2 linked regions of the Arabidopsis thaliana genome follow. The protein of the gene in region 1 interacts with the protein of each later gene in a pairwise test. Each region holds a gene or a part of one and is shown on either strand. Other genes may lie near its edges.

What was found. Proteins that work in one complex are often made in the same cells at the same time.
Region 2: the proteins of CCH (region 1) and HMA5 interact in a two-hybrid assay, tested with the Arabidopsis thaliana proteins (one study listed by BioGRID).

The regions. Positions count from the first base shown.
Region 1 is NC_003074.8:20,861,263-20,872,246, forward strand, and holds CCH (copper chaperone), read right to left. Parts: upstream 3,361-10,984; 5' UTR 3,141-3,360; coding exon 3,132-3,140; exon of another isoform or gene 2,811-3,131; intron 2,669-2,810; coding exon 2,593-2,668; intron 2,479-2,592; coding exon 2,198-2,478; 3' UTR 1,877-2,197; downstream 1-1,876. Other genes in the region: AT3G56230 (BTB/POZ domain-containing protein), read right to left, coding at 1-92, 349-531, 664-873; AT3G56250 (uncharacterized protein), read left to right, coding at 4,822-5,179, 5,538-5,679, 5,959-6,019, 6,435-6,554, 6,820-6,894; AT3G56260 (uncharacterized protein), read right to left, coding at 6,937-7,530; AT3G56270 (WEB family protein (DUF827)), read left to right, coding at 8,958-9,158, 9,453-10,592. UniProt on the Arabidopsis thaliana protein: Involved in copper homeostasis. Can complement the yeast mutants atx1 and sod1.
Region 2 is NC_003070.9:23,522,917-23,533,900, forward strand, and holds HMA5 (heavy metal atpase 5), read left to right. Parts: upstream 1-4,653; 5' UTR 4,654-4,738; coding exon 4,739-5,041; intron 5,042-5,140; coding exon 5,141-6,544; intron 6,545-6,632; coding exon 6,633-6,887; intron 6,888-7,016; coding exon 7,017-7,139; intron 7,140-7,209; coding exon 7,210-7,689; intron 7,690-7,770; coding exon 7,771-8,193; 3' UTR 8,194-8,310; downstream 8,311-10,984. Other genes in the region: AT1G63430 (Leucine-rich repeat protein kinase family protein), read left to right, coding at 1-61, 401-539, 676-747, 833-976, 1,076-1,216, 1,314-1,430, 1,511-1,575, 1,658-1,915 and 5 more; RHS8 (root hair specific 8), read left to right, coding at 9,607-10,984. UniProt on the Arabidopsis thaliana protein: Involved in copper import into the cell. May play a role in copper detoxification in roots.

The sequences.
Region 1 (10,984 bases):
GAATTTAGTTCTTGGAGCGTTATGGCGTATTCTGGAGCGGTTTTGCATCCATCTGAGTCTAGAATGTTCTTAAAGATCTCAGATTTTGAAGCCTACATATATATAAGCACCCAACTCGTTTTTAGAAAACAAAATTTAATGGTTGCGTCATGTTAAAATATTTTACTTTATTTTTTTTTCTATTTAATTTGTACTTTTGAAATTGTTTACATAAACATCAAACGCCATTGAATTTTTATTTAAACCCTATAAATTATTGTATTTTTAAAATGTCAACATCCTATTATAAAACTAACCATGCCATAAAATTAAATTTTAAAAGAGAGTAGCTAGCGATCATTGAATTACCAGCAAAGCTCTATGTGCAGGAATTGGAGGGCCATCATCGCCCGGTTTTAGAAGAATATCAGCATGAAGCTGTTCTTTGAAACCCGACACAAAGCTGCTTAAGAAGACTATTCTTTTCTTCTGTTCTTCTTCGGTTTCTTTCATGTTTTTCATCCATTTGATCACCTTCTCTAATGGTTGCGGCTGAAATTCTCGCACAAATATATAGTTAAAAATCATTAAGCCAATAAATTAATGTGTTTTGATTTCTAAAAAATAATTGAAATGTTTTATAAATTAAAGACTACTTAGTGCAAATACACATAAGAAGCTTACCTCACAAGAAAACAAAGGAGACGAAGAAATAGAGGAGCCATTATTGATGGTGGAATTATGGTTCGATTTGTCATGACGATCTTCTTTCGAGCCCTCAAGTTTCTTGAGCAGCGCAATTGTTGTTCTAGCCCCTTCGTAGCATGATCCACATATTGTGTTTCTTGGTGGTCTTAATATAGATGGCATTGTGGTGCAGATTGAGCAATCCATTTAATGTTCTTGGTTTGTAGTTTCCTCTTCTCTACCTCGCAATTTTTGGAGTAAACTTGAGAATATGAAGAAGATCAATAGAGGAAGATGATGGAGGAGCAGTTTCTTGCTTCGAACGCAAGTTGGTAAAGTATGGTTCAAGAATTGGTTAGAGATGGCTACGTTCTTGAAACATTTTTAAATATATTTTTCGTTAATAATCAACTCGGTACATGATTGTTTCCGTAAAGAGTTGTTGAGCATAATTTAACAAATAAAACAACGTAGATGAAATGATTAAGACATGAAGGAATCTTTTAGGGGCAGTTGTATAGTTGGAACTTGGAACCTTCATGGGATGTTATATACTTAATTAATTTAATGAAACAAATCCAATATATTTATTAATTTGTTTATTATATGCTTGACTGGATATATGTATATGCTTCGCATGTATATGATCGATGCTAACCGTACATAATTTAGTAAAGTTAACTCATGAAGAATGATTTAGAGAGTAGATAAGAATACAGAGATTTGAGATACGATAGATAGCTTCAAAAGCTAAAAGACGTAAAAAGTTGGTAAAGAAGAAAAGGACTTTCCAACCTTTCAACAGCAAATATGTGTAGTGTAAGCACGTCGCTCCTATAGCTTCAACATTAATTGACTTAATTTTTGGGAAAAATATTAATTAATAACTCATTAATTTTGTAAGAATGTGCAATCCAAATCTTAGCACGAATTGTTTTCTGAATGGATTAGCTAGATTAGTGTATACTAATCACACCCATATAGTAATTCAGGTAAGATGATAACTCAAATTTGAATCCACATGAATATTATGTACTATTAGGGCCACATATATAACAAAATAAGTTATTAGTCTATTTGGTTTTGGGCTTATATAAATACCAAGGGGAGTTCAAACTTCAAATCCCATCCTAATGTCCAACTTCTTACAAAAATATGTAAATAGACCAGAAAAACTTTTGCTTGGGGCTTCCAAGTTCTTCAGGCCGGCTCATCTTACAATTTTCTCTTGAAAATGGTTCATTCTGTTTTTGCCTATTTTCAGACAGATGTCTGAATGGATTGAGTTTTATAATAAGTCAAAGTTAAGACTCTCGCAGTATTTAATTAACTAGTAAAACACTTAAAACTTCTTATAAAAGAAAGTCGGACCAACATGGGTCCAACATCTTGTTATCAATAGTTGAAAAAGGTATACATACATAAAGATATTAGGTATTTAGAGGAAGCATTTCTTACAACAACACACAAAAGCAAAAGATAAAGAAGCATTGTAAAGGTAGATTAGCCTTCCTTTTCATCGTTAGTATACTTAAACTTGTGATGGCTTAGTCTCGGCTTCTGCGGCTTTTGGTTCAACATCAGCTTTTGCATCAACCTTAGCCTCAGTCTTAGTCTCAGCCTCGGTTTTAGTCTCAGTCACGGTTTCGACCTTAGGATCAGCCTCGGCTTTTGGCTCAGCTTCAGCCTCCACTGGCCAGTAAGAAGTCTTCTTTCCGGTCTTTGAAACTGTTTGGAAAACTGCTTCAGGCTCAACATTACCTTTCACTGTCACCTTTTGCTCCTTGATATCAATGTCAAATGACTCAACCCCTGAGATTATATAATAAATTATAGAGTCAATAAATTATAAGGCTTAAAATAAAGGGAAACAATGATTAGTAGAAAGTATTTGAAAGACATGAAAAAAAGATTAGAGAGAAATACCTTCCATTTTGCCTAAAACTCTATTGACGGCACCAACGCAGCCTTGGCATGACATACCAACTTTGAGGACAACGGTCTGCATTAATTAGACAATTTAATCCGAAAATGTAAGAACCATATCCATATACATAGGACCAATTCGGTCCAAATATATCAACAGCTAATTTTATCACAATTATTAACTGTTATCTTTTGTGCTCTAGCTTAATAATATTTACCTTTTTTGATGAATATTTCAAAGTGGTGCTAATCGGACATTATAGTACTTACAGATAGAACCTAGACCTAGACCAATCAATCTCTTTTCTTCCCTCTTGAAATTTGATATTAATTCATTCCAAAATATTTATTATCATAAAAACTGATTAATCGGACTCTCATAACCGATATATATAGACAATTGCTAGCATCTTTTTTGGAGATGGACACAAAAAGACATTCCTGCTTCCAGATCAATGTCTCTCAAAAACATTATTCCATCGTTTCATGGCCAAGAAATGGAGAAAAAAAGAAGAAGAATATCAAAGTCACAAAATTACCTGAGCCATGGCTAGAATAAGAAGAAAGGAAACGATTAAGCTTTGAGCCTTTGAGATCGATGGACCGAATCAGAGAATGAGATGCTTGTTTGTTGAATGAGAAGAAATGGTGTCTTCTGAATATTTATAGTAACGCAAAAGCAAAGATTCGGAGAAGTTAGCGTAAAGGAAACGAGAACATTATGAATTAGTGCATTTACCATATTTCCAATAATAAAGTATAAAGGTTTAGGAAGGTTAGTTATACCTGATGTGGAAAAAAGCTTACCAACTTTAAAATCCACTAACAGAAAGTACAAGTACAAAGAATTCTATGAGGTCTCCTTGTACTACACATGTTTTGTTGCAGTACCAATTACCTAATTTTTATATATATGGGGTCAATCAAAGTTTACTTTTATTAGATAGTAGTATTTGACTATGAACTTAGAGAAAACTATTTTTATCCTAATATTTTATTTTCAAGCTTTCTAAAGAATATCATGAACAATAAAACACAAATATTATATGTCAATCTATAAAAATATCATATTATACATGTGGAGTTTGAATGGTAAGCCGAACTAACTCATTTTATCTTTAGGTGACTAGGTAGTGGGGTGTATTGATACATAAATAATGTTGTCCTTTTCACGGATTGTTTTGCCAAAAACTAAATTTTTTGAATGATGGACAAAAGTTTCACAATTTGCGGTTTTACATTGTTATCATTCAAAATTGCGAATATCTTATCTATCACTATTCATATTGAATTTTATAATTCTAAACAGTAAGTAGCTGAATTTTCAGAATCGGTCATGAGACCAATATATTCTTTGATATTTTGTTGTTTAAAAAGTGGCTAAAAATCGATGTGTACCGTTTTTTGGAATCCTACTCGAGTGAGCATAGGAATGAGAGACTCAAGTATAATATGGTTTCTTATATGGATTCCCAAACTTTTTTTTGTAGTTAACATTATCAATATTTCCATTGTGGCTTTCCTATGCGACGTCCATCAAAGAAACACATCAGCATATATCTATCAATAATGCGTGTAGTTTTGAAATATGGCACTCATTCTCTGTCCCTCTCACCGAACCTATTCGAGGAACTCGTGTAATGACGATCGCAATTTACGTGTTTCAACACAACTCTAAAGATCTCATCACATAACTCGAAATGCAAGAATCTTTATATTCCAATCGTTATTGAAATTACGTATATATCATACAATGCTGAATCATACTTTGTCTACTTGGTGGTTACAAAGATTTCAGCCTCACATCACAATCACCTAAAGTTGCAATTCCTTTATTAATTGGTCAACAACTCGCAAGTCTTTGATACATAATGCTCTAATACTTTGCTCCCACTTCTAAAAAACAGTTCCCCTCTATACAATATATTTAATATTATCCTTACAAAAAGAAAAGCAATAATTTTGTTGATCCCCTACACCTCATCAAGTTCTAAAAAGGTAGTAGAATAGATTATGATATGGGCCCAGTGCTGTCAAAACAAAATCATGGGCCCAGTTGATAAAATAAAAAATATGGGCCCAACGATACTTTCCCAATTTGGGCTTCTCTTAAATCCTCAATTATTATCGTCTCAAGCTCTCTCGAGCCTTCTTCAGAACTCTTCTTCTTTTCGTGCTTTTCACATTCCCGCCAACAGAGAGTAGAAATCTTCTCCCACAAAACCTCAGATGAATCATCCCAAGATTCCGACGCCGGGTAAACAAATGGAAGCTCCTCGCTCCGTCGGAGGAAGAATACAGAGGAAACCGCTCGCGGATTGTACTAACACCGTCTCCAGATCTTCTCAACAGTCATCTTCTTCTGTAAAATTCGCGAATCCGAGTCTCACTTCTTCACTAAAGAGATTAGTAGAACAAACTACGCTCAAGGAGAAACCCAAAGATGTTAATACTTCGGCGACTGCTCCCGAAATCGCTTCTCGGCCTATTACCACGGACGTTAGACCCGTAACTCGCCGTATGTCTGCTGATCTGGCTTCTCCGGCCTCAGCTCCTTCTCGTCCCCAAACATCGCGATCTGATATGGGTAATTGATTTAGCTGCGATGATTTTGTTCCAGTTTTGTTATACTGTATCAAATTTTAAGGAATTTCATCTGAATTGAAATTGTTCGCAACTCTAGGGTTTTAGTTTTCGGGTTTTGGGTATTTTTAGGAATTATTGGAAGAAGGTTTAGATTGATGCTTGAATTTATCATGTTTTCTGTTATAGTGGAAGAGCACTAATTGGGTCACTTCAAATTTCCAAAACGGCACCAATATTGAGTGGATTGAAAATTGCTATCAAGCTAGTTCTCAGTCTCTGTTGATTTTCAATTGGTATTTTTGCAAAATTGGTTTCTGTGTCTATCTTATACTGATGTTAAATAATTGTCTTATGCTTAGGTGTTAGTGACAAGGATTTTACTGAGCCTTGGTCTGTTTACACGGTAAGAAGGAAGGCCTCTGGACAAAAAAGAAGTAAAGACGCATCTTCCTCTACTAGTGCAGCAGCTCGCATTCGTCTCGACTTGTCATCAAGCTCTGGGTATGAAACCCATTCGATCATATATTTGCTATGGGAAAATTGATTTGGCATGGCTAATAGTAGCTAATGTACATATGGAATCAGGATAGAATGTAGTTCATGCTGACTAATTTATTGATGCCTGTTCTTTTGAAAGAATCTTGTCAGTAAGAAATAGTAGATGAGATAACTTTTGTTAGTGTTACAGTTAACTTTCATCAAATTTGTTTAGCATTTTGTGGGCTGTTTATAATCAACCATGTTGTTGTTAGTTAATTTTCTTTGAAATTTGTATCACAGGAAGAAAACACGTCAAGCTAGTGAAAACAAAAAGAAGACCTTGAAAGTGGCTCCAAAAAAGGTGAATTCAGGAAAGCTCTGGCTGTTTACTTATCAGAACTGTAATAATTCTATGTTGTTATCATCTTTCTGCGAAAAAGTAGTCAATACTTTGATCTATTGGTTTTATGGCTCTAGCAAAGTGTATATCAGTGCATTGTATGTTTCAACATTGATTGTTCACAACGTTCTTCTGCCACATGTCTGAAACCAGTGCTACACATAGTTTGAAGTGAATTGCCTAGTCCTTCAGTTTCATGTATATTCTTCTTTTTTTCAAAAGTTGGATTTAGAATATTGTCACGAGATACAGTGGGATTACTGTTTAATGAGATATGCAATTTGGAACTCCCATTGTTCAGTTATAGAGCCTTATGACTATTGGTAACATATAAGTTTGCTCCAAATCTAATTCTGCATTTGTGGTTACATTACAGAGACAGCGGACGGTAAAGCAAGAGAAAGAGGATCCGGTTAGTGCAGCTTGTCAGGATTATATCGAGAAGCAGAAAGCTTACTTTGCAGAGATTGATGCATTTGAGCTGCCAGTAGAAGAGGTATCTAATAGCGACTCAGACTAAGTAAGAAGAGATAACAATCTTAAGGATATCATAGAGACACCATAACCCGTTCGTAATCACTGTATAGCTAAGGAGTATTCTCACAGGAAATGTTTCACTGGTCACTTAGTACACATGACACGTCAAATCTGTGTATACAAAATATCTATCGGTTTATAATATTTAACATCGTTTCAGTGGGAGAACGTTCTTGGTTCTACTTAGACATGAATTGACGAAAAAGCCTGTCCACAATACACAGGTAAGGCCACGACTGAGAGACAAACTATATACTTACATTCACACACCAATAACTATAACACTCTCTGTTCAATGAGGCGAAGCAGCTCATAGAAAAAACCAAGCTTTATTCACATAATCAAGCTTTATTCATGTCGCTGATGATTAGAGCTTTACCTGTGGTCTCATGTCTCTTCATACCCTCCATTGACCCAGAGAACAGAGCTCTTGTCACACTCCCCATTGAAGAACTACAGCCAAGTCTTCCCCCGTTGGAGCAACACAGAGTCGAGGTTGGTGAAGACCTAAGCTCATCCTCTTCGTAGTTAGCGTACAGAAGTGGCGATTTTTTGTCGTGACTCATACGTTTTTTCAAAGAATGTGGTGGCGAGGAGGAAAAGGAAGATGAAGATGACGTAGAAGACCAAGAAAACGATGAGCTTGCCGTCTTCTTGCTACCGTGATTGCTCCTCCTGAGATCACTGAACATGGAGAAGGACAGAAACTTACTTAGTTTTGATCTCACCTTGCTTTGCGTCCTTGGTGTCGACAAAATCCCGGAGGAGTAGTATGAGGGCGGCGGTGTGAGAGGCAGAGGAAGAGAGGAATCGGAGCAGAGGTGGTTTTTGGGTGTTCCTGGCCTTGACTCCCATATGAATGGTATGGAGGCTCCGCCATAGTAGGAGGATCTCTCTTCATCGATTGCAAAGTCATCTTCTAGTCTTTCTGACATCTGTTTTTTATAAACTCTCGGTTTATGTTTGAGTCGGCTTTTGATGAGAATTGATGTACGAAAATTGAAACAACAAGTGCTAGTTTCGAAGCTTCTTTAGAGGTGACAAAGAGTAATATGTATTGCGAGTAAAACAAGTTTGCCGATGAAACAAAAGAATCTTCTTTGCACGGTTGTATATAATCGTGGATATTTATTCTGCTTTTTTATTTTCTTTAGGAAAAATTCATATGGATGAGCATATTACAAGTATATGGAAGATCATACATAGGGGAAAAAATTGGTTAGATAATAAATGAAAGGTGGCTATCTTACTGTATGCATTACTTAATGCGTTTTCATTAATAATAAGAGAGTCGTGAGGTGAGGATCACATTATTGGTAAACAGTTACTGTAGTAAGCATTGCTTAGAGTATTTAATATGTTACCTTTTGTGGGATTCCACTCTATAAACCTTTTTATTTGGTGTTCTTATAATTAAGGAAATAATTATTGACCAACAAATCCACACGTTTTAATATATATCAAGACTACTAACCTTGTTTGTCGTAATTTGAAACTACTGACCAAAAGTTTGGGGCATGTTCATCCAAAAGATATAATGGTTTACATTTAATGAAATGATAATTTAGATAGGATATAATAGGGAACTACTCAGAGTGTCAGACCAAACCATCTGAATACGTACCAATGTCAAGTGCTAACTGGTAACTCCCAACAATAGTAATTAGAAAAGATATATATATTTGTCGGTTCTAATTAGTTGGAAGAAACGTATGCGGAGAAATAAATAGAAACGTGAGAGATCGAAAGACGACGGTGATGAATTTGGACGGTTGAGTGAGGGAGGTCGTATAATTTAATGGTCGTTTCCAATCGTATTCGTACGTGGTCCGTTTTCTCCTACTCGGATTTTGCTTTAATGTGATGGCCACACAAATTGGTTAGAAAACTATAAGGGAAAGCTCCACCTATTTATTTCACTCATACATTTACTATACACTAATATCGCACGGGAAAATTATAACAATTTTCGGATATTCGTATTTGAACAGAAACAAACAACACATACGTAAGAATTTCCTTCACAAAAAAGCCCAATATAGACGAACTTGAACTTCGTACCAACGGCCCAATATCGCTTCCTTAATCAACGGCCCAAAATTTTCATTTATTAATTAATCAGATAACCAATCAATAGAAGCCACGTCGCCACAGCCATTAGTAGTAGCATCATCAAAGCCTGCATTCTTGTTCTTCGAGTCTCTCTCGTGAGTGACTTTCATTACCGAGAAAAACACAATCATAGAGAAGCTCTCAATCTTGTTTGCTTCTGATCAGTAACTATGATTACTGTAAATAGATCACTCTTTCATTATCTTTCCCTTTCACTTGTACAAACCAATTCGTTCTCGAGCTAACGGAAATGGCGGAGAGGCAACAGAGCCCTGCGGCGGAGACGATTCCCGGTACACCCGTAATCCGGGAAGTGAGAACCGGAACCGGGTCCGAGAATTTCAACCCGGAGAATACAAGGAGAGGATGCTTGAGAGCTGAAATCGACATTTCTCCACAGTTATATGGTGGTCGTGGGTTCTGGGTTCCCTTCAATCTTGAAGACAATTACGTGAGTTCTCTTCTAGTTTCCGATTTACAAAGTCTGTTCATTTAAAGTTTGAGCATTAATGTCACTGAAAGTTTGAAATGTATGTTCTCTAACTGTTAAGTATGCTAACAAACTGAATAACTGATAGCTGATTCGATTTGGTTACTGAGTAGATATTTTGTAATAAGTGATAGCTAATTTGATGTTTGCATTTGCGGCAATTGATTCTGGAACTAGCAAGATGTTATGTAAGATTTTTTTTTGGTATTATATAGCATGATTTGTTTTATGTTTTTTTGGTTTGTCATTCTTCAGGACTGTGTGGGAGAATTTGACATAAAGAGAATGGAAGAACAGACAGTGGAGCTTGAGAAGGATCTGATTATGAAAGAGTTAGAGACTCTGGATCTTCTTGAAGCTCTTGGATCAACCAAAAGGATTTTTGAAGATTTGAAGTGGCAGCTTCAGCAGCAAGCACTGAGATGCAAGGAGACCCCTCAACATTTGCGTTCACACTCCAAAGAGATGGTCGATGAGCACTGCCATCGTAATCCCCTGAAGTCTCCGGATCTGATGACCATGGAAATGAAGCAAGCTGGTATGAATCTTTGTAAAACCATGGATGATCTTGCGTTGATCCACTCTTATGCTGAATCTCTGAATATGAAAACGAAGGAAGAGAAAGATGTCCTTGGAGTAGCGTCTCTAGCGGAGGAACTTAACAGTTTGAAGTTTAAACCAGCAGGTCCTGATCAAGTAGAGAGATTCAATACCGAGAATTTACCAGTGAATCCACAATGTGAACAGATTAAGATGGTAGTTGAAACCTATGATACAGCTTTCCATAAACAGAGCAAAACCTGCCCGAGAACTGCAGATATGAGATTGGTTGCTGCAAGAAAAATGGAAGAGGCAGCAAGAGCAGCGGAAGCACTTGCGCTTGCTGAAATGACCATATTATCCAGCAGAAGAAACCAAGACGCTCTCTGCTTCCCTAAGACACCATGTTTTCCATTAACACTTAAAGCACAGATGAACAAAGAATTATCCACCAATGTCTCAAGAATAGAGATCTTGAGGAAGCTGGAGGAAGCTAACGAAGAAGTTAAACAAAGTAAACAAGCCTTGGAAGTTGCGTTAAACCGGGTAGAAATCGCTAGTGTGAAGCAACTTGAAGCAGAAGAGGCATTTCGGCAGTGGAACATAGAGTCATGGAAAGACCAGAAAGCTGTTGGAGCAAAACGCTCGATGAAAAGAGAAAGCTTTCCTCAGCGCTCTTTCTTGAGCCATATCAATCAGCACGAGCCACTGATCGATCTCCCTGAGCCAATGCTGAAACGTAACGTCTCAATGGGTAATGCTCTTAACCGAAAAGATGAGAAACAGTTGGTCACGCCGAGGAGAAAGTTTAGGTTCATACAAACACATCAAGCTTCCATTAGAAAAACAGAGTAAGCTAAAAAAATACCCAACCTTTGAAAACATGTTTTGCACATTTCGATTCCTGTTTTTTTTTATTCTTGGTTTGATCATTGATGGGTGTTGTTGCTTCCATCAAAAGCAAAACACAGATGATTAGAGTGAGATGTGTTGTTTTGACTCAAATGTGACAAAAAGAAAAACATTATAGTAAAAACTAAAGCTTCTAGTAATCATAATTAATTATGGGAGTTAGTGAAGGGCATTGATCATATGATTTAGGTGGTGGGCACTTTCTTAACTAATGCATTTTAAGTGTTAGATTAGCTAATTAGGTGATCCATAATCAATACCGTAGGTCCTCAACTGTTTATTTTTTAATAACGTTGGTCTTTATAATGTTTCTAGATTCTCAAAATAGAAACTGA
Region 2 (10,984 bases), on another chromosome or scaffold:
TCGTTAGCTCTTGTTCTTGGTCTCTTCTTCGTTTCTTGTGATGGGTTTGCCTCTAATGAAGGTAAAACTATTTGTTAATCTCTTTGTTTTGTGTTACTTTTCTTAAACCCAGATCTCAGATTTCAATTGTTTTCTCGCTTGTGTTAGGTTTACTAAGAAAATGCTAGATAAAGCTCATACCTTTTTAGATTCTTCAGTCTCCATGAATCTCTCTGTGAACAACTTTCTAACTTAACTTGAACAGAGTTGGGATTAGTGTAGAATCTTAATCAACCTGAAAAAGTTTTATCTTTTTAATGGATAAGATCAGAAGAATCTGTGAAGTTAAAGCTTTTAATTCAAGGTCTGATCATATAAATCATCTAATAGATTTATGGATCTTCTGCTCTGTTTTTGTTAGTTCAAGCACTTAGAAGATTCAAGGAAGCTATCTATGAGGACCCTTTGCTAGTTATGTCTAATTGGAATGACCCCAATTCAGATCCTTGTGATTGGACCGGCATTTATTGCTCTCCATCTAAAGATCATGTTATCAAGATGTAAGAATCTTTCATCTTTTCTTCTTTCTCTTGCGTTTACTTATTCTTGTATAGTATCTGCAGAATCAGTTGTTTATGAGTGGTTTAGGATGAAGTTGGCTTGAGCTTATAGCTTGTGGATCTTCTTTTCGTGCAGAAATATATCCGCTTCATCGATAAAAGGGTTTCTTGCGCCGGAATTGGGTCAAATAACGTACCTGCAGGAACTGTACGGTTTCATCTCTTTCACAAATATGTAGTTTGATGCATTGAGTTTGATGCATCTCATTAACATCATTAAAATGCTTCTGTAGAATCCTACATGGGAACATTCTAATAGGGACAATACCTAAGGAGATAGGAAACTTAAAGAATCTCAAAATCTTGGACTTGGGAAACAATCATCTTATGGGACCGATCCCTGCAGAGATCGGGAGTTTGTCCGGCATCATGATAATGTAATAAAGATTCATCTTTTTCGCAGTCAAAGTGATGCTTTCATATCTTATTAACAGATGAGTTGTTGAGACGACAGTTTTTCTTTTCACATTTTACAGCAACCTTCAGTCCAATGGTTTGACTGGAAAGTTGCCTGCAGAGCTCGGTAACTTGAAGTACCTTAGAGAACTTCATATTGACAGGAATAGGCTTCAAGGAAGTCTTCTTGTTGCTGGAGCATCGGGCTATCAGTCGAAAGTGTAAGTTTAATAGCTCAAGAAGCCAAAAATGAAACACTATGTGACTTCTGTCTATGATGGCAATGTTAATCGGGTTTTGTTTATTCAATTTATTTAGGTATTCTTCAAATTCAAGTGCAAACATCGCTGGTTTGTGCAAATCTTTAAAAGTAGCTGACTTTTCATACAACTTTTTCGTGGGAAATATTCCAAAATGTTTAGAAAACCTTCCAAGGTATTCTATCATCTATGCTGTCTTTTGGAACTCTCTAAGTCTTCAATTTAGTCTTAGAAATGCTCTTTTGTGGTCACTAGGACGAGCTTTCAAGGGAACTGCATGCAAAACAAGGATCTTAAGCATAGATCTTCTTCCCAATGCGGTGTGTAAGATAGAATAATTTTCACTTTATCGACATACATGTTCAATTAGTCTTGGTTTTCTGAATGTTATCCCTGTTGCAGCTAATGCACAACTGGTCAAAACTCATGGAAGCCCGAGCGCTGCTCCTAAGCACCAATCAGCTCAAATGGTGGCTAAGCACCATAGAGCATCAAAACCTAAATGGCTTCTAGCTCTTGAGATAGTCACAGGGTCAATGGTTGGTTTGCTCCTTCTGGTTGCACTTTTCTCTGCAGTTCACCGCTGGAACAATAGATCAACTCTCATCATTCCTTGGAAGAAATCTTCAAGTGAAAAGGAAAAGTTCACAGTCTACGTAGGTTAGAATCTTTCCTAATTCTTTACCTTCCAATGTAGAATCCATGGAGCAAAGAACTAAAAAAACGTGGCATGTTTTTATTTTAACTACAGATTCTGAAATGCTGAAGGATGTTTCGAGATTAACAAGACAAGAGCTCGAAGTGGCGTGTGAAGACTTTAGCAACATCATTGGTTTATCAGCAGATAGTCAGATCTATAAAGGAACGCTGAAAGGTGGGTCTGAGATTGCGGTGATCTCTCTTTGTGTAAAGGAAGAAGATTGGACTGGATATCTTGAGCTCTATTTCCAGAGAGAGGTAGCTTCCTCTCATGTTATCATCATCACCAAGCCACTTGGATTGAACAATCTTTAAACATATCCTCCTTTTTTCTGAGATTTTAAATCCATCTCCTCACTGTTTCAGGTTGCAGATTTGGCTAGATTAAACCACGAGAACACAGCGAAATTACTTGGATATTGCAAAGAGATCTCACCATTTACAAGAATGCTTGTTTTTGAGTATGCATCAAACGGAACACTATATGAGCACCTTCACTGTAAATAGTCTAACTTACCTCAGAGCTTTGTTGCATCATCCTGTATTGTTTTAGCTAGATAACATTTTTATGTGAAATATTTTGATGCAGACGGGGAAGCGGCGTTAGTATCGTGGGCAAGACGGATGAAGATTGTTATAGGCATCGCACGTGGTCTCAAGTACCTTCATATGGAACTTGATCCTCCGTTTACAATCTCTGAGCTGAGCTCAAACGCAATTTATCTCACAGAAGATTTTACTCCCAAGGTAAAGTAAAGTGAGACCTGCTTGTTATCTGAGTAATACAATTAGCTAAGCTAAGCTTTATGTTCACATTCTTTCTTTTTTCTGACTTTCTCTGATGCAGCTGGTTGATTTCGAATGCTGGAAGACAATTCTTGCAAGATCAGAAAAGAATTTGAGAAATATTAGTAGCCAGGGTTCGATATGTGTACTCCCAAACGGAATGGAGAGCCGATATCTTGATGTGTCGGGTAATATCTATGCATTCGGGATTCTTTTGCTGGAAATTGTCAGTGGAAGACCTCCTTATTGCAAAGACAAAGGATTCTTAATTGAATGGGTAAGACAAAAACAACTCAGTTTCTCTAAACACTTGAAACTGAGTTACTTCCTCCTCCTCTTTTTTCACCATTTATATCAAAAACTTTGTTACTGTTAGCCTAGTAGGAATGGAGTCGTCTGTTCAGGGAGAGACGAGTTTTCGTCTGGATGTGGAAGTCTTGACCTTGTTCACATGTTTAGTTATATCGCACCTCAAATGTGGTTTTTGTGGCAAAAGTTTTGAATTTGAAACGTATCTATTGCATTTTGCAGGCAAAGGAGTTCCTTGAAGCACCAGAGGCAATGTCGGGATTGGTGGATCCAGAGCTGAAACATTTTAACCAAGAAGATCTTGAGACGGTATGCGAAGTGGCTAGCCAATGCTTGAACCGGGACCCAACCAACAACAACAACAATCACAACAAGCCCTCAGTGCAAGAGCTATGCGAGACATTGGAGAGCAGAATCAGTCTGTCTATTTCAGCGGAGCTTAGATCATCTTCTTTGGCTTGGGCCGAGCTGGCGCTTGACTCGTGATGAGAATGATGAAAGGAAAGAAAACGAGTGTTGAATGATGCAATGCTAACTAACTAAAAACCAAACTCTCAACTCTGTAAATCAATCGACTGATTACAACATTTGATATTGTTTTTTTTTGCTCTGATCTTGACGAGTGTGTCTGTGTTCTTGATTAGTTTTGAGTTTTGGGTGGTTCAAAGTGTTTGTAAATGAAGAGATGAACATAGTTTCTGAAAGATTTTCTCTATTATTTGAAAATCTATGAGAGGTTGAAGAATGTTAATGTAGTGTGTTTGGATCTAACCTTTAATCTTATATTATATAGAGCATTGTATCTATTGTTTGACATGATTAGTCTCATTGGAAAAAGCTTCAAGGCAATCAATTTGAGATCAATATCAGTCTCAGACAAGTGTTTGCGGACCAAGAAGAAGAAGAAACGTAGTTGAAGTTCATAAATCATAATGCATGGATCAACTTAATAAAAGGCCCACATTTAGCCTCGTATCAGTCTAAATGGGCCACACAAGTCAATAGGCCCATTTATCAATGCTTTGACTGTTTTCAATCTTCAATTTTGGTATGACTTCTTCTTACGAGGTTGAGTGCCATAAAAGATTAGACAGACACGTAAAATAGATTCCATTTTACCTTTAGTTAAAACAGATATGGATTAGCCAAGTTTCGTTAGTATATTGTCATATTATTTTATTGAAACAGAAAAAAACAAGTAAAGATTACTTAATCATTCTTAATCAGGCCTGTTCTTAATTATCAAAAAAAAAAAAAGATTACTTCATCATGTCGTAATAATATCACTAATCAATCCTTTTTTTTTTGTCATCACTAATCAATCCATTTTTTTAGCGAACCTTAAAGTCAAAGGTGTTGTTACTTTGGACGATTAAATTTGAATTATATAATTTAAAAGAAAATTGGAATTTAATCTGTTGAGGTTGAAATTCTCTCTTTTTATATATGGCGGTTGAAATTTAAAAGTAAAGTATTGTTTGGTAGGGCCCTATAGTTTAAACATTTACAAATCGGCCCACACATTTTTGTCATTTTAGATGTCGTAAACCGCTTTCCCTCGTCTTCGTTCCAATTTAAAAAGCAAAACAATTTCAAAAAGTCTCATCATTTCCCATAAACCTAAAAGCTTTTTAAAAACTCAAATTCGATACGAGAAGAACAAGATTCGCGCACAAGACGATCGATTACATGGCGACGAAGCTTTTGTCGCTTACATGCATAAGGAAAGAGAGATTCAGCGAGCGTTACCCTCTGGTGCGGAAGCACCTTACCAGGTCTCGCGACGGCGGCGGAGGATCATCGTCGGAGACGGCGGCTTTTGAGATCGATGATCCGATTTCCAGGGCGGTTTTTCAAGTGTTAGGAATGACTTGCTCTGCTTGCGCTGGATCTGTTGAAAAGGCTATCAAGCGTCTCCCTGGAATTCACGATGCTGTCATCGATGCTCTGAATAATCGTGCTCAGATTCTGTTTTACCCTAACTCTGTCGATGTAAGCTATGATATTCTCTCGAATCTCGGTTGAATTGTTTCTGAGAAGACTTGATTTGGGATTTAGGTTTTCTTTTTCTGTGTAATTGTGGATTTATAGGTGGAGACAATTCGTGAGACTATTGAGGATGCTGGATTTGAAGCATCGTTGATCGAAAATGAAGCGAATGAGAGGTCGAGACAAGTTTGTAGAATAAGAATTAATGGTATGACTTGTACTTCGTGTTCTTCAACAATCGAAAGAGTTTTGCAATCGGTTAATGGTGTACAAAGAGCACATGTGGCTTTAGCAATTGAAGAAGCTGAGATTCATTATGATCCTAGACTCTCGAGCTATGATAGACTATTGGAGGAGATAGAAAATGCTGGTTTTGAAGCTGTGCTTATAAGTACAGGCGAGGATGTGAGCAAGATTGATTTGAAGATTGATGGTGAGCTTACTGATGAATCCATGAAGGTTATTGAAAGGTCGCTTGAAGCACTTCCTGGTGTTCAAAGTGTTGAGATCAGCCATGGAACTGATAAGATATCTGTATTGTACAAACCTGATGTGACGGGGCCGAGGAATTTCATTCAGGTGATTGAGTCTACTGTCTTTGGTCATAGTGGTCACATCAAGGCAACAATATTCTCAGAGGGAGGGGTAGGCAGAGAATCTCAAAAGCAAGGGGAGATTAAGCAGTATTATAAGTCGTTTCTCTGGAGTTTGGTTTTTACAGTACCGGTGTTTTTGACAGCCATGGTCTTTATGTATATCCCTGGAATTAAAGATTTGCTCATGTTTAAGGTCATCAATATGCTCACCGTTGGAGAAATCATAAGGTGTGTTTTGGCTACTCCTGTCCAGTTTGTCATTGGTTGGAGATTTTATACTGGCTCTTACAAGGCTTTACGCCGAGGATCGGCTAATATGGATGTTCTGATTGCTCTGGGGACAAATGCAGCTTATTTCTATTCATTATACACAGTGTTGAGAGCTGCAACATCTCCTGATTTCAAGGGAGTAGATTTCTTTGAGACTAGTGCCATGCTCATTTCCTTTATCATACTAGGAAAATATTTGGAGGTTATGGCTAAAGGAAAAACATCTCAAGCGATCGCAAAGCTTATGAACTTGGCACCCGACACTGCGATATTGTTGAGTTTGGACAAGGAAGGGAATGTGACTGGTGAAGAGGAGATTGATGGTCGATTGATACAGAAGAATGACGTGATCAAAATTGTTCCTGGTGCTAAAGTAGCTTCAGATGGTTATGTCATATGGGGACAAAGTCATGTGAATGAAAGTATGATCACTGGAGAGGCTAGGCCAGTGGCAAAGAGAAAGGGTGATACAGTTATAGGAGGCACTTTGAACGAGAATGGTGTTCTGCATGTTAAGGTTACAAGGGTTGGTTCAGAGAGTGCTCTTGCTCAGATTGTTCGACTTGTTGAGTCCGCACAACTGGCCAAAGCTCCAGTACAGAAGTTGGCTGATCGGATTTCCAAGTTCTTTGTTCCTCTTGTGAGTAATCTGACCAGTTGATAAACAAATTATTTAGTCTTTTAGAGGCACAACTATTTTTTAAACTCACTGGATTATAATGTTGAAGGTAATTTTCCTCTCGTTCTCAACTTGGCTTGCCTGGTTCTTAGCTGGGAAACTGCATTGGTACCCTGAATCCTGGATACCTTCTTCGATGGATAGCTTTGAGCTAGCTCTTCAGTTCGGGATCTCTGTCATGGTCATAGCTTGTCCATGTGCTCTTGGGCTGGCTACTCCAACTGCTGTTATGGTTGGTACTGGGGTTGGTGCATCCCAAGGTGTGCTGATAAAGGGTGGCCAAGCCCTAGAAAGAGCACACAAGGTTAGTTTAGTGTGCAGTAACTTGGTCTATGGCTTTGTAAACTTACTATACTGTATATACTTTACTCAGGTTCTCTGGATCATTTCTTTTCTGAAATGGTGAAACCTGACAGTTTCAATGACGGTGTAGGTAAATTGCATTGTCTTTGACAAGACAGGAACTCTCACGATGGGGAAGCCCGTTGTTGTGAAAACAAAGCTCCTGAAAAACATGGTACTTCGAGAGTTCTATGAACTTGTTGCTGCAACTGAGGTAAACTTTTGGAAACTCCTGGCCTACATCAAAAGTAATATTACTATGTTGATGCTATTTTGTTTATCAGGTAAACAGTGAGCATCCGTTAGCAAAGGCCATTGTCGAGTACGCGAAGAAATTCAGAGACGACGAAGAGAACCCTGCCTGGCCAGAAGCCTGTGATTTTGTGTCCATCACTGGAAAGGGAGTGAAAGCCACCGTTAAAGGTAGAGAGATTATGGTGGGGAACAAGAATCTGATGAATGATCATAAAGTTATTATTCCAGATGATGCTGAAGAGTTGCTAGCTGACTCTGAAGATATGGCCCAGACCGGAATTCTTGTCTCCATAAACAGTGAACTGATTGGAGTTTTGTCTGTTTCGGATCCTCTAAAACCGAGTGCTCGAGAAGCCATCTCCATTCTAAAATCCATGAATATCAAAAGCATCATGGTAACTGGTGACAACTGGGGAACAGCAAACTCAATTGCTAGAGAAGTCGGTATCGACTCTGTTATCGCAGAAGCTAAACCTGAGCAAAAAGCAGAGAAAGTCAAGGAATTACAGGTACTTGAGTAAAAGCTCCACACTAAATGTTAAAAAGTTCACATATATGGAATTGATAAAAGCAATGAATATATATTGCAGGCTGCGGGACATGTTGTGGCAATGGTAGGTGACGGAATCAATGACTCACCGGCTCTCGTGGCAGCGGATGTAGGTATGGCGATAGGTGCAGGAACAGACATTGCTATAGAAGCAGCGGATATAGTTCTGATGAAAAGCAACTTAGAAGATGTGATCACAGCCATTGATCTTTCAAGGAAAACGTTCTCAAGAATCCGTCTCAACTACGTATGGGCTCTCGGGTATAACCTCATGGGGATACCGATCGCTGCGGGAGTGCTTTTCCCAGGGACACGTTTCAGGTTGCCTCCATGGATTGCAGGTGCTGCAATGGCTGCTTCTTCTGTTAGTGTTGTGTGTTGCTCTCTCTTGCTTAAGAACTACAAGCGACCTAAGAAGCTTGATCATCTGGAGATTCGGGAGATTCAGGTGGAGCGAGTTTAAAAAATTGAACTAAACCGAGTACCGGTTATTGAATTTGATGAACCAATAAACAAACCGTACAGTAAGTTTCCACTCCTTATCTAGAATTTAAGTCCATGAACTAATAATTGATTTACTTTGCCTCCATATTTTCGTTGCTTCCCTTTTTCCTATTTGGAAAAGGAAAATATTTGCCTTATTATAAGACAAGAGCAGAGAGGACACAAATAAAGATAAGAAGATTAGGATTATACTTTGAAACGTGATAATGAGAACTAGACATGGCAGCAAAAGGACAAAGATAGAGAAGGAGTCTCGAGTAAGTCAAGTAACGTCGGAGACAAGAAGAGATTGCCTGTGAAGTCCGTAGCTAAGTTTCTCGTTGTATCCAAGTTATTGGCAACAATTATCCGCAGTCGATATTTCATTAGATCGTTTCCCTTTAGGTCTTCGCTTCAGCCACATATACTCTTTGCATTCAAATATTTAGATAACCAAAACGGACGCCAGATTTGTAACTTCTTCACGTATTCCTCGACATCAACCAAGAATCTACCGTATTATTTATCTCTTAGTGCGACATGCTCAATCCCGAGTCCGTATTGCCGCAGGATCAATAATGTTCCTTATTACGTTAATGGTTTGATAAGTCTTGGATGTGGACGAGAACAATTTATATGCAACCCTAGCACAAGTAAGTACATACCTTTACCCAAAGTGAAATCAAGAAAAAAGATTATCCAAAACTTTTTCGGGTATGATCCAGTCAATGGTGAGTATAAATTAAGTATTGTGCATGTCGGAAAAAGTGAATGATTACTGGGATGGTCCATCTTTTGAACATCAAGTATTCACATTGGGAGGAGTTGATAGATCATGGAGAATGATTGAATGCAATAACAATCTTCTTCATCGTCCCAAAACTAACGGTGAGTGCATCAATGGGACAATGTTGTTGCAAGGAGAAAAGTAAACATTTCTGCTTCGTTTTCTTCTCGTATACTATATGTCAACTTTGTGTTTTATAGATTCCTTTTTTTTCCGGATTGGTTGCATAACCCCTACTTTGAATTATAAATTTAAGTTGACCAAAAAAGGCCAGCTAGATAGATCTTGTGTTATTATGGATATATTCACTCGCATCCAAAGTCAAAGTGAATATTCCACAACCATATATAAGAGAAGTTGTTTTCCAAAATTTTAACTTGGAGGCACGTTAATTTAATTCGTTTTAACTACCAAAACTTGGATTATTAATTTCACTATAAGATTCAATGAATACTAAACTAACAAACATTGCTATATAATATTAACATATGCATCTATTTCTATTATCAGGTTTCCAAATCAAATGATTTAAGTTTGTTACAACAAGACGTGCACACTCATTGATCATTTTACTACAATTATGTGACGACGTGAGTGCATGTCCAGATGTCCCTATCAAAACATCTACAAAAGCTTGTACACAAAAGAGAATCCAAAAAACAACCAAACAAGAAAATGCCTGTCTCCGTCTCAAAGTTGAGACGACCAAGAACGTCCAAAAAGACCGAAACCGGAAATCCCGAAAAAACACTTAAAGATCCTCGTACTTGCTGTAATAACCTTTTTTCGATCTTTTCCGCCAGATCATTTCTTTATCGTGTACCTCTCACGATTCTCTTTCTTTTCTTGATTTATCTTTGGTCCACTTCCACGACCGTTATCTCTGGTAACGTCGTTCATATATGCATCTCTTCGCGGAAGCTCACTGACCTTTATTGCCTCACTGCCGGTTCTCAGCCCGCTTTACGTGCACCAGTCAACAATTTCACTGCGCCGGCTAGTGAAGATGTGGTAACAAGTAAAGAAGAGAAGAATGTTTTTGTTCTTGGTAAAGACGGAGACAAGGGTTTCGCAGAAAATGAAACCTTCGAGGGAGGAAAAGATTCAGACAAATCTACGGTCGGAGAAAACCTCACCATCAATAAGAACGAAACTTTCACAGGAGAAACCTCCGGAGAAAGAGTTTCCATTCTTAATCAAGATGCTAAACCCATCCATGAAAAGAATCTTGATTCCGTTCTTGATCAAGATTCTTTACCCAAAAACGAGATTGATCAAGATTTCATCATTGATTGGGATCCAGAAACTGGCGAAGAACGATACCGATATTTCAAAGCGAAGACCGAAGACGAGGAGACCGGTCTAAAATCTACGGAAGAGTATATTCAAATACAGAGAACTTGGTTATCGATGGGAAACAACCGCAAAAAGCCGGGATCTTGCGAAGGAAAAGGTGTATACGTTTACGATTTACCATCTAAATTCAACAAAGATTTGTTGAGGGAATGCTCCGATATGGTTCCATGGGCTGATTTTTGCAACTACTTCAAGAACGATGCGTTTGGTGAACTGATGGAGAGTATGGGTAAAGGCTGGTTCAGAACGCATCAGTATTCACTTGAGCCGATATTTCACTCTAGAATTTTGAAGCATCCATGTAGGGTTCATAACGAGACTCAAGCGAAGCTCTTCTATGTGCCTTTCTATGGCGGTATGGATGTTTTGAGATGGCATTTCAAGAACGTTTCAAGCGATGTGAAAGATGTTTTGCCGATTGAGATTGTTAAATGGCTCGGATCGAAGAAATCATGGAGGAAAAACTCCGGAAAAGATCATGTTTTTGTTCTCGGAAAGATCTCTTGGGATTTTAGGAGGGTTGATAAGTATTCTTGGGGCTCAAGCTTACTTGAGATGCAAGAAATGAAAAACCCTACAAAGCTTCTCATCGAACGTAATCCATGGGAAGTCAACGACATCGCGATAC